Linked DNA regions of Drosophila melanogaster. The gene in region 2 interacts genetically with the main gene of each other region. Each region holds a gene or a part of one and is shown on either strand. Other genes may lie near its edges.

Region 1 (4,878 bases), about 15 Mb from region 2:
GGGGGAGTTGTGCCAAAGAAGCATGGTGTGCAACTAAAGTTGGCCGTCGGTTCGCAGTTTCTACCCGACAATCAAATGGCCAACGACTCCCAGCCACCCTTCTCCACCCTCCTGTCATCCCCTTTGAAAGCCCCAGGCCTCTGTAAAAAGGGACTTTGAATGGGCTGTTTGGCAGCAACGATTGCGTGTTCCGTTTGCCAGGTTTGAGGGAGACACATCGTTGGCATCGAGTGTTTGGGGAGATTCTCGGGTATATTGCACATTGCAGTCCGCAAATCCCTCCCTGCTTTCTGGATGATTCAGACATGTCCTTATAAAAAAAGAGTGAAAAAGGGCAGAAAGAATACAAGCAGAAAGGAGATAGCTACAAAACGGGTGAGCAACTGGGGAGGGCAGGGTACAAAAAAACAGAAATTCTTTTAAAAAAAGTCCCTAGTTGGTAATGCATTACTACAACATTGGAGGAAACCACTACTTTGGAAATCCCGCTTAAAACACACAGAACTTTGCCGACAGTTTTTTTTTTACTGAAAATGTGGGTTATATTGCAACCAACTGCTAGCATTTTTCACAAAGAAAAATGATCCAATATTAAAGTTACACGAAGCAAAAGGTATTAAAACGCTTTAGCAGTAGTTGTCCCAAGCAGGGTGGGAATGGTGGGTGCAAGCGACATAAGTAATCAACGACCACCACAAAAATGACGTCGGCGATGCGTGCCCCTGATAACAACGAAGCTGAAGGGTGGACCTGTGGGTGAGTGGCTGACCAGGTCCAGGCTAGTCCTGCCATGAATTGCACGCAGCGACGGTCTAGCATGAATAGCCGAATTAAGGGTAAGATGGGTGGAGAGTGAATGAACGAATGGAGAGCAAAGCAAATTGCAGGCTGCATACAAAGCAAGACATGAAAGGAGTGCAATGCGCTATAAAGCAGCTTAACTGCTCCCCTGTCCGGGATTGGGCCGAACTCCTGGCTCCTGGGTCCTTGGAGGTGCTGCCCCTCGGTTCTTCTCTTTCAATTGGTCTGTCTCCACATGAATATGGATTTTATTAGGTTTTTGTTCCGCCACAGAAGACTGTTCGCTCTGCGTTGCCAAGGGAAAATTGCTCCGAGGTATTTAAGAGACAAGAAAGTAAAGCAAAATTGTTAAGGTCAGGCACGTCGGCGATTGTGGATCGGCCCCAAAGAACGAGAGCTGCCGCCTGGCAAAAATTGTTTGCAAATGATTTAAAAACACTTTAGCTAAAGCTAACAATATCCTAGTAACGCATGTCTTCCCTTTTGGTTTGTCGGTAGGTGTGTGCGTGCACGTATGCCAGTCGATGAATTGACCTGAACAAGAGGATTCGTGGTGAATGCAGGTCCAGCCCCAGACCAATTTGGGGATTATGCTCAGACAGAGCCGGATAGTTTTTAGCCGGACTTAAACCCCAACCGAAGGACGCATAACCCGGCCCCGCACTCCATTTCTACGATATTTGCCAGTCGCTGCGTGTAGAAAATCAAAATCAAAATGTCTGCACGCCCTGTTTGGTTTCGGTAACACCTCCGCTACTTTTATATGCAAATTGCTAGTCGAAGCCAGCTGCTGCTATCCTCTAGCCTCAAGTTTTCGGTTTTCGGCTTTCAGTTGGCCAGTAGCCAGCGACAAGCAAACGGTTCAATTAAGCCAATACTTGCGCACACTCGCAAGTAATTTGGCAGCCCTATCACCCATCCCCATCCCATCCCCATCCCATACCCATCCCCAATCTCCAATCCCCAATCCCCAATCCCCAATCCCCAACCCTTTCCCGCCTTCAAGCCCTCGAGCCTTTAGTGCCGCTGCTAAGCGATGGCACATTTTTCGTAGCATACTTTGCGCGGCTGCTTAGCCGACGGCCACCACATCCCACAGAAACCCGCTCAAGTGCTTGTGTGCTTGTGTATCTGGCTCTCTGTGTGTGTGCGAGAGTGTGGGTGCCTGTGTGTGTGGGTTGCGGTTGCGATTGGTATTGCTGTTGCACGCAGAAAGTATAGAGCCACACTGCTATTTTGTGAGCCGTACTCAAGTTATACATAAGTTGGGTGTTGTGTCAGTAAGCCAGATGAGGCAGTAGCGCAACAACACAAGTCCCTAATTGCTGGAGACCTACTTGTCTTCCCCGGACACCGAATTAATATTGTTTTGACTTCTATCAGCTTCAATGCGTGGCTAACATCGAGCGTCGAGTTGTCTGTTTAAATCAATTTGTCATCCCGATTAAAGCCCTAACGAAACAATGTTTTAGTGTGCAGTTTTGCCCAGTTTCCCAGTGTTCTCTGTCAGTTTCATTTTCGGTTTGTGTTTCTGTTCTGAGTTTCGGCTCTTTCGACTTACTCCTTCGTTCCATCGAGTATTGTATCGAAAGTGGAGTGAAATGGTCTGGTGTGCTGTGGTGTGTTGTGGTGTGCTGTAGTGTGGTGTGTTGTTATGTCGTGTGGTGTGGTGTAGTGTGGTGTGGTGGGGATTCGGTGACTCACCTGAACCTGAGCAGTGCCAATGGCCAGGACGACCCAGAGGCTCCTCAGCAACAAATTACGACGCAGCGCGGCGCACATTGTTCGCACTCTTTTCTGCTTCTTTGCTCCTCGTCTGGTTGGCTCCTGGTCCTATCTCCTGGCTGGGAATCTCCGAGTTTGGTCTGAACTTAGCTGCTTCTGCGGCTGGACTGACGTGCTTCCAGTTCTGGTTAATTGTATTTGCTTTGTTGGCTATTCGTTTAACACTTTGCTGCACAGGCGGACGACGGTAGCAGCAGCAAGAAATCGAAAACACAAAAAAATTTCATTAGCAAGCGATTCGGAATTGTGGCCTTTCGTTTCAGCCTTTAACTTTCTGGGTTCTGGGTTATGATTTCTGTTTTCTGATTTCTGCGCTCTAAGGTTCGTACTCCGATTTCGTTCGATTTGCGGTGCCCAAGTTAGCTGCCCACAGCGCAGCGCTTTTCCTTTCGCCGATGCCCAGAAACCTATGCACGGAAAATGTCAACTCGGAAAACTCTGTGCGTGTGGCTTGTATGTGAGTGGCCGTAGTATTCGATTGTGGAACGTAGTAGGAGAGAGTCCGTGATGGGCGGGGGCGGATAAGGGAATTGAAGGAAAAGGAAGAAAAGAAAAATAAGGCAAAGCTACGAGAGTACTCGCTGCTATCTGTCCTGTCATACCCACTCGCTGGTTCTCGGGGTCCTGAGATTGTACTTCCCCGAAACGGAAAATATGAGTGGCACTATGGCCGCCGTTCTGCGCCTGGAAAAGTTGTCAGCTGCAGTCGTCGGGTTCCACGTCCCATGTCACTTGTCCATGTCTCCTGTCTCCTGTCTTGGCAGTTCCCACGCAAATCCACCCACTCGCTAACCCCTTCCCGCACTCTTGGAACGTATCCGTCGGGCTTCTGCGCACTTTCCCAACCCCTTTCTCACTGATTCTGCGCAGGTGCGCTGCTTATTGTCCCCCAGCTAAGTTGGCATCACAAATCCACTATTGGCATCGGCTTCGCTTTTTCTTTCCGAACTTGTATCACTTTGTTTTGGATGTTTCTCTATGGTTTTTGTTGTTGGGTTTCTTTTTTAGCACTATTTAGCACTTGAACAGCAAAAAAAAGTATTGAGCTTGTTTTGGTTAAATTTGACGGTCTCTCAATGTGTGTCTCTGGTTTTGTGCTTGTGGCTCCTCGGCCACCACCTCTCCGCCCGAGCGGGAGAACGACAAGAGCCACTGGCCAGCAGCCCCTGGCCTTCCCAAGCTGTCGGGGAGTGGTCAGATGGGGTGGCCCGAAGAAGCCCCTAAAGCGCTGAGTTTTTGGAGCCCTGGCTGTACGCTATACCTGGCGCTGCGAACGCTCACAAACGACTGCGAGTGGTCTCGTTGCCTGCAATCCTGCGAGTCCACGTCCGAAAGTGCGAACTGCGAAAGTCGAACTCGGGCGCAGAATGCAGAGCGCGTGCCCGGGATCGATATTAAGGGCGAATCGAGCAACTGGCCTTCCGCTTTCCGCGGGGGTGACAATGTTTTTGGCTGTCCGGGCTGCACTATGGTACCAGTGCTTCCAGTGGTAGTGGTATTAGCGGAACAAGCAGGACAGAAGTGACTAGGGAGAACTGGTTCCGCGGGCGAACCAAGAGTGTCTGGCGGAGTGCTTGTTAGTTAGTTTACATGCACACCGCTAGGTGGAAACTCCCAAGGGAATTTCGCACAGGTCACCGTCTTCAAAAGGCTGTCCTATGCACGAGTTTTTATAAACCACTAAACTTAATTCAAATTTGTTTTCCTCGATGGATTCAAGAGTTTATATACTTTTTCTAATGGTGAAGCCAATCTGCACTAGATGGCGTCGATATGTAAGATGTAAGATGTAAGATGTAAGATGTAAGATATGACCAAATCCAAGTTTCCCACCACCAACCACCCAATTTCCTATCCACATCACTTATTGCTTGGCCCTTAGCCAAGTTGCAAACCACTTTCGACATTATTTAACATGTTCATTTTTTCCTTCCCAGCGACTGGCAACTCTGTGCCGCACAGCTGATCTTCTTACCGGCTACAAATTAGATTTCTTACATTTGTTTATTTACGCCGCCTCCTACTTGCTAGGCCTCAGGAAAGCATAAACCTAGGAACGGAGCCTGGTACAGACACGGAGCTATACACCTACAACAACGCACATTTCACCTAGTTGCGCAACGCACTTAGCCGGCTGGCGTGGCAGTGCACGGTAAGCTGAAACGTACGTGGCAATGAATATGAAATCGAGCTTGCAGGAACATTGAACCAACGAGCGTGTAGCACTAGACCCTAATTCCAATACCAACTCCTTATTTCACCAAGATGACGGCCACGTTGCGTTACCGCGGC
Region 2 (8,132 bases):
AATTGTTAAGATCCAAACGATTTGGTTGATAACGATGCACAGATTCCGTATCTGGATGCGAAAAAGGGATATATAACTTGTATACAAAGTTATATACAAAAATGATTGTATATGGTGAACGTGTCGCGAATTTTTTTCATTTTATGATACTGATACTTAATTTAGAGCTCACCTTCCTTTTCTTGCTCTGTTCGTTTTCATCCAGCGATGAGGTGGATTGCACGTACTCGTTAATATCAAAGAGCGGCTCGTTATCGTTTGGACCTGTGTCATCATCCAGGAGAGGTCCAGTTTTGAGATTATAAATGTTTGGCAGCTGGAACACCTTTTCCCGGTTCACCATATTGACCTGTGATGGATAAAACGATACTATATGCATATTTCTGTCAAATTCGAGATTTCTAGCAGATAGCACACCTTCATGTGAAGGCATTGTAGCACCACGCATTCCCCGCTAAGGACAAAATAGACATAGCTCATGGTACCCAAGTCTTCGGTGTAGATCGTCTCCAAGGGCTCGAATTGCTGAATTGTTCCATACTTACTGGCATTTACAATCTTACAAACAAGTTATATTATAATTTCTTTTTATCTACTATTATACTTACCTGTTCTTCGTTGAGAAAGTCAAAATAGTCAAGGGCCCGCAGAGCATCCTTCTTTTCCTGCCACATCTTTTGCATAAACGGTAGAAGAACAATTTTATAGTTCGTATTGAATATAGCCAGGAGTTCGCAATAAGCTGAAAGAATCAAATGCGATTAGGTGTCAAGAAACAAACGAATCGATTTACTTGTGGCGATATAAGTGTTGGTTCTGGGTGTATCTTCCATCACGTCAATATCACCAATGCAATCCCCGGGTCCAAAAATGGCCTCCGTTTGTACGGTAGGACGACTGGAGCCCTAAGAAATATACCATTTTTCAAATAAAAAAGCATATATATTTAATAAGGCATAATTGAAAAATTGTAGCTATAACTATGCAAAGCATATTAGAAAGTATTATATATAATTTGAATAGTTTACCTTTTTATATATGTTCTTAGACATTTCCACCTCACCGGCGATTATAAAATAAATGGTTACGGGAAAATCCTCCTCCTTCATAACAATACGCCCGGGAGATATTGCCATGAATTTGACAATCGGAACAAGACGGGCGCGGACTTTCTAAAAGGGGTAACAGGTCGGATAAGTAATATTATACATATGTACAAATGATCAGCGCGCTACTCACTGGCGGAAATTTTGAAAAGCAAGCCAGATTTGCCACAATGGTGCAGAGCTTTTTCCTCTCATCGACGGAACGCTTAGCATGTGGAGTGCGCAGCAGCGATTTCTCCTGCAATTAAGCAAACACAAAAAGGAATAAACTCTTGAGCTAGCCTTGATATGAAAGAAGAGGTTCGTTGGACTTACGGCCATGGTCATCATGCCCACTTTGCGCTTCTGTCGCAGCATGGCAACGTTCTTCTTCACATTCAGCGATATTCCACCCTCCTCGGGCAGCTCACTTAGCCACTGCATATTCAGTATCACGGATCGGATGAGCTTCTTAAACCGAATCTTGGCTATTTTCTTTCCAGCGCCATCGTGAACATCGCGTTGGCGCTTGGACATGATTATGCCTTCTAAATCCCACTGATGTCGAACTGTTCAGTTCAGAGTATTGTGTCCATATAATAGTATTCGAATGACAAAGATTCGGGCTGCCGCCTGCTGTCTAAATAAGCTTGAAAATATGAAAATATATAAACTTAATTTTACCCCATTTCAGATTTTGACGGCTAACGGTTTTCGTGCGCACAAAAAACATGTGTTATTTTCAAAGTGTTTAAATCATCTTTTGTAATTTCAACACATATTAGCTTTTCATTTAAGAAATGTACATTCAAATGCTGAATAAATATTATTTGCGTTTGTTTTTTCTTTAAAATATTATATCTTAAATTGGCTTATCGTTTATAATCGATTTCTTATTCGAGCTGTACTCTCTGGCGCTATCTTGACGCACATACATTCGTCCGATAAGTTGGGTGTGTGGTATATTTCGATGATTCACTACGTTCACACTGCGCACAATTGAATTCTGTGGCTATCGGTACGGAAGAAATTTTAGTTCGTTTTAAATATGCAATTGTTATGAATAACACAAGTTGAGCAAATAAAAGACGGCAATTCCCAGCAGCGCGATTTGTTTTTTTAGCTCGGTGCTGCAGTGCAATGTAAAGTATATAGAGGAAAATATTTACACATGCGCATTAACCGATTAATGTTCTGTGTAAATGGTTTTATTTTTTTTTTTTTTGTATTTTTTGTTACCCATATGAGAGAGAATTAAATGGTTGTGCTAATGATTCATTTACAAAGGAATCACAAACCGAACACAGCCCAGAAATTGTGAATCAAATGGGCAGTAATTACCCCGCTTGAGAGGAGTATGATAAAGACGGCGACGGTGATGACGATGTTGATGATGATGAGATGGTGTTGATGATGATGATGATATGATGACTCTTCGGGTCGTGTATGTATGAAGAAAAGAACCGAATGAATTTTTTTGTGTTCGGCTCGTTTGGCAAAAAGGGCTTAGCCTAAAGTTTGTGTGTGGTGTGCGGCTCATATAAATCGCTTGTGTTTTAGATAGATGTTGATGTACAAGAGGGTGCAGCATATTCCTATATATATACCAATGTACATAAAGTATATATACGGTGTTACAATTCATAAGTAACTTGTACTTTCATACAACTCGAAATATCCTAAAAATGTCTGCGCATATGTAAGAAAGTCAGTCGCCCGGCGATTTCAAAGAGCAATATGTACATATGTACAGTGGCTCACAGCTTAATTCGTCCAGAGGTAAATGTTTATTTAATAATTCGATGAAAAACCGTTTAAAATATCAAAGAAATGGAATAGACAATTTTCCTTATCCATACACATTGAAAACGTATAGAATCAATATACAGATTCTAAGATGAAAATCTTTATAGAAGAAACAACTTAAAGATCTTAAAGTTGTATGGTTTTTTGTTGTCTAAGCTGTGGGTTCACTACACTCCTATATTACTGACTGAAACAATCACAATTGATTTGTTATCTGTAAAAGTAAACAAAGCGCAAACAGCTGATGGATGTGCTGTCCATCTTATCTTTCATTTAGTTTACTGCGAAGTCTACGTCGTTAATTGCTTTTAAATATGGTTTTGGATATAAAGTAGCATTGTCTCTATATTCTAATTAATAAACCCGGTTTCTGGTGCTGGTTGTAATCGGTTGTAATAGCGCCTATTAGTAAATTTCTTGTTTTACCAATAGGCTTAGGTTTAATCGTATTTAGTGTAGGTGTGATGTATTCTTGCCCCACAATTTTGCATACGTTGTTAAATTATTTGTTAGATCCTCAACTTTCGTAACATTGGACCCGAATTTTGTTTTGGACACTTATAGCGAATCTATTCCAATTTGTTTTTGTGAGATTACCACCACCGATATGGCAAAGAAAATGATTTCACGGTAAGCCCCGAATTCCGAATTATTTTCCATTATCTATATTTAATAGCATTAGAAAGCGGAAACTAGAACTAACAAATCTCTCGGGGCGTTTTTAGTGAATGGTTTTAGACATATCTTGGTTTAGTTAAGCATTTGATTCTATTAGTGACTCTCTAATCTGATTTCTGATTTTTATCAAATATGATTTTCGTATTGTAATCAAAGTAAGGCAGCTAAGTGTTTTTATCTGGTCTTCTTACAGTTTAGCACGGAAAACCCCACACAGTCACAAAAGTTAACGTATCTCCTCAGTTAAACGCATTCTTATCATTGCTATATGTGGCTTTTATTAAATCGAATTCCACTCGAAGTTAAATATAGACTAAGACTCGCATTTGCTGAACAGAGATCATAAGCCTAACAATGGCGGACCTAATACATTTGGGAAACATTGATGTTGTCATCCAGAAAGATAAGCCCGGATCGCCAACGGGCTGTTCGGATGATGGGAATCTTGCGGGGCTGGGTGGCATGACCGGATTGGGTGGCATAATGGCACCTGGCGGCATCGACTTGGGTGACTTGGCTCAGGAATTGGATCACGATGAATTCGATGGACCACATATGCTGAATGGTAAGTAAAGTTACATGCCCATACATTGTAGTTCGATCGATAACTAATTTTCCTTGCAAACTCCAAACGCAGGTGAACGTCCAGCGATTATTGCTCCTCCGGAAAGCGAATGGTACCATGGACGACTCGATCGCTACTCTGCAGAGTCTCGCCTACGCGGAAGCAGTAAACTGGGCAGCTATTTAGGTGTGTATAAGATGGTATTCGAAGGTGAGAAAGTATTACTAAATAAATACCTTTGTGTTCTTTTTTTAATGCTGAGCAGTTCGCGAAAGTGACCGCAAACCTGGCTCCTATGTTCTGAGTTATTATGGCCGCACCGGCATAAATCATTTTCGGTAAGTAATAGGTTAAGATACCCATTAAATGCCATTGTTTTGAATGATTTTTTATATATGTATGTTGTATCGTTAACATAGGATTACAGCTGTGTGCGGAGACTTCTATATCGGAGGACGACAATTCATTTCCTTAAGCGACTTGGTTGGTTACTATACCTCATGTAGTGATCTACTGAAACGCGAACGCTTGGCCATACCAGTTGCTCCGCCGGAGCCAGTTAATGATAAGAAACGCGTCGTAGCCATCCTGCCTTACACAAAAATGCCAGAGACCGATGAACTGAGTTTCCAGAAAGGTGATATCTTTTTTGTACACAATGACATGGGCGATGGCTGGTTGTGGGTGACTGCCCATCGTACGGGCGAGCAGGGAATGATATTCAGAGAACTTGTTGACGATCTGGATGTATCTATCGATCCAAATACGGTGTTTCCCTGGTTCCATCCCAACTGCACCAAAAACGAAGCCGTCGATATGTTGGTTAAAGGTGTGTATTATTAGTTTAAGGTACCTACAAGTAAGGAAAGCAAGCTTTCCCGAGATTCACGAGATGAATCCTTAGAATTTTGAGCTTCTTCTAGTGACGCCTACAATCGATATTTTCGACTTTTCTCTGTTGCTATATGTATGTAATTGAAACACATTTTTTCATCCTAACAGCTGGACCAGGAAGTTTCCTCGTTCGCCCAAGTGACAACTCACCGGGGGATTACTCTCTATTCTTTCATATAAACAATCAAATCCAACGCTTTCGTATTGAAAAGAAAGGCGTGCGCTATTTAATGGGCGGTCGTACATTCGAATGCTTGGATGCGGTTATAAATCGATATCGCAAAGAGCAAATTGTGGAGGGCCACTCACTGAACCATCCAGTTGTCAATGGCATTCAGCCCGAGTTCAATCAGCAATATGTTGTGGAAAAGGCCGCTGAAAAGATCTACGCAACATTGCGCGAGTGTCGTGACCAAATCGGTCTCAAAAAGATCAAGGGAATCAAACATCACGGCCATTTGAACAAGAAGTCGGACAAAACGACGAAATGGAAGCAACTCTATTTCGCTTTAATCAACGATGGTTCCGAGACGCAACTATGCTTCTACGACAATCCGAAGAAGACCAAACCGAAGGGTCTGATCGATTTGTCCTGTGCTTACCTCTATCAATGTCACGATTCGCTGTGGGAGCGTCCCTATTGCTTCCAAATTGTCGAAAGGGCCCTGCCATGCTTGGCCACAGTGACGTATCTGTGTGCTCCTAGTCAGGAAAGCTACGTGGAGTGGATTAATTCGCTCAAGGCACAATGCGATTCCCAGCTGAGTCGTGCCCAGAAGAAGGTATCACGCCTTCGTGAGCTTCGTTGTCTTAATCTGCATGTGCTGGAAGCTCATCGATTACCATTTAAACTAGTGCCACATCCATACTGCAGTATTTCCCTCAATCAAGTCAAAGTGGGCAAAACTCGTGTCAAAATTGCACCCGAACCCGTTTGGGAAGAGGAGTTTGTGCTAGAGTAAGTCTACCATTCCTTCGCCTATTTGATAACTTATCGAATAATATATGTTTGTAACTTGCTTGCTTGCAGCGATGTTCCGCCAGATGTTGTCTCCCTAACCATAACATTAATATCGCGCGGCAAACGCGGTAAGGACTCCGAAGTGGCTGAGCTAACCATTGACTTGTCTAGTCTAAAGAATGGCCAGGAAACCGAGGGCTGGTACCAACTCACTGGCATGACGCCGATGGGTGAATGGGGCTCGCTACGATTGCGTATGCGCTACCTCGACGATCTGATAATGCCGTGTGAAGAGTACAGTCCTCTGCAGCAATTGCTCCTCGAATCGGAGCTGTATGCTGTGAAGGCGCTGGCTGAATTGTGCCATAATGATCGGGTTCCTTTGGCCACGGCTCTGTTGCGAGTCTTTAGGCAGGAGAAACGGGAAACGGAACTAATTCGAATGCTGTGCCAAGCGGAGGTGACGCGCGAAAACGAAACCACAACGCTTTTCCGTGGCGCATCCTTGGCCACCACCCTAATGGATCTATATATGCGCACCGAATGCAGCGGCTTCCTGCAATCGGCCGTCAGCGAAACCGTGCAGCGCATTTTGGAGAGCAAGCAGTCGGCTGAATTGAATCCCACGAAAATGGACGTCAACGATGATGCCTGTACGAATGCCGAGTTTCTATTGCAAATCCTCGATCTGGTCACCCAGTCGATATTCACTTCACCGGACGCCTGTCCACGCAACGTGCGTTTCATTTGCAGCTGTCTTCAGAAGGCTGTGATGGCCAAATGGCCGACAGAGCGGCTCGTTCGCACACGCGTCGTCTCTGGCTTTATATTCTTGCGCCTTCTGTGCCCAGCGCTGCTCAATCCACGCCAATTTGGATTGGTCAGCGAGACGCCACCGATGGCAGCAACACGATCTTTGGTCATGGTCGCCAAGTGTCTGCAGAATCTGGCCAACTTGATTGAATTCGGCGGCAAGGTGCGTATCGATTCGACTCAGTTATGTGATTACCAAAATAAATTCGATTTCTTTTTCATTTTTAGGAACAATACATGGAGGTTGTCAATCCGTTTATCTTGAAGAACAAGGAGCGTATGATTGTTTTCTTGGATCAACTGTCCTCGGTGAACGATCCGAACCAACCGCTTGGAATGTTTGTCGAACAAAGTACAAATCTGAATTCACAAGACACTGGTAATTATTTGTCAGCTCATGTTTTCTATTTGGCGCTGTTATATTATTAAATATACAATGATTTCTTTTATAATTCCTGCAGGACGCGAGCTGGCTACCTTGCATCACATCTGCGTATCTCATTCGCAAGAACTGCACGAGCTATCCAACATACTTTCAATTAAGAAGCTGGTCACAGTGACGGACATGCTGACCAAACACAAGCTGAAGTATCGCGAGATGATCAGCTAAAATCAATTGCGAGGAGAGCGGATAATAAAAAAAAGCGATGTCTTCTTATCTACAAGTCCCTTCATACCTTTTTATAAAAATATTTATATGTGTATACTATTAGAATACATAAAATAAGAACTCAAAATAACTGGTTGAATTGTATTGGAATAGTAAACAGCATCTCATTTATAAAATTATTTATATGGAAATGAAATAATATTTAACAGACCGGTATGCATTTATTTATTATTATTATTACAAATTAAAAATAACCTATAATACACTAGCTTACACGGATTACTCCGTATAGCCGCAAACTCAGATATTCAAAATGGTTTTGCTTTCGATATTGTTTAAAATTTATTAGTGCATTACCAACGTCAAATGGCAGTTGGCGTCCAAATGCACGGCATTTATCCAAAAGTCAATACATTTTTTTTTGAAATAACGCATAAAATCGAAATAAATTAAAGAATTCAAAAAGAGTGCAAAAGACTTCCTCTGAAAACATACACTGTGTTTTTGAATGGCTCCCTTTCGGTTTCTTGCAGCTGAAAAATGTTTTTTTTTCGAATTTCTTCGCACTTAAAGGCGTTGCAATGGGCATGGAAAAGTCAATAGTCAGCTGAATTTAATATAAATACATATATTCTTCAAAGGAAACAACAGTTTTGCGTTTATATTTGCAGTTTCGCATCTGATTTCTTATTTTAAGTGTATAAAATCATATTCAAAGAA

Evidence for each region.
Region 1: of vap (region 2) and Appl, changing one suppresses a phenotype caused by changing the other (phenotypic suppression), as found in Drosophila melanogaster (one study listed by BioGRID).

The regions. Positions count from the first base shown.
Region 1 is NC_004354.4:529,504-534,381, reverse strand, and holds the start of Appl (beta amyloid protein precursor-like), read right to left. Parts: upstream 3,213-4,878; 5' UTR 3,193-3,212; intron 2,756-3,192; 5' UTR 2,584-2,755; coding exon 2,506-2,583; intron 1-2,505. Other genes in the region: CG4293 (uncharacterized protein), read left to right, coding at 4,852-4,878. UniProt on the Drosophila melanogaster protein: During development, plays a role in the regulation of the neddylation pathway. Appl and APP-BP1 interact antagonistically during development.
Region 2 is NC_004354.4:15,999,717-16,007,848, reverse strand, and holds vap (vacuolar peduncle), read left to right. Parts: upstream 1-2,036; 5' UTR 2,037-2,864; intron 2,865-3,404; exon of another isoform or gene 3,405-3,521; intron 3,522-3,762; 5' UTR 3,763-3,923; coding exon 3,924-4,134; intron 4,135-4,206; coding exon 4,207-4,320; intron 4,321-4,399; coding exon 4,400-4,472; intron 4,473-4,553; coding exon 4,554-4,963; intron 4,964-5,136; coding exon 5,137-5,986; intron 5,987-6,058; coding exon 6,059-6,965; intron 6,966-7,030; coding exon 7,031-7,181; intron 7,182-7,263; coding exon 7,264-7,412; 3' UTR 7,413-7,898; downstream 7,899-8,132. Other genes in the region: CG12698 (uncharacterized protein), read right to left, coding at 173-349, 418-558, 609-742, 794-905, 1,029-1,172, 1,240-1,344, 1,422-1,622.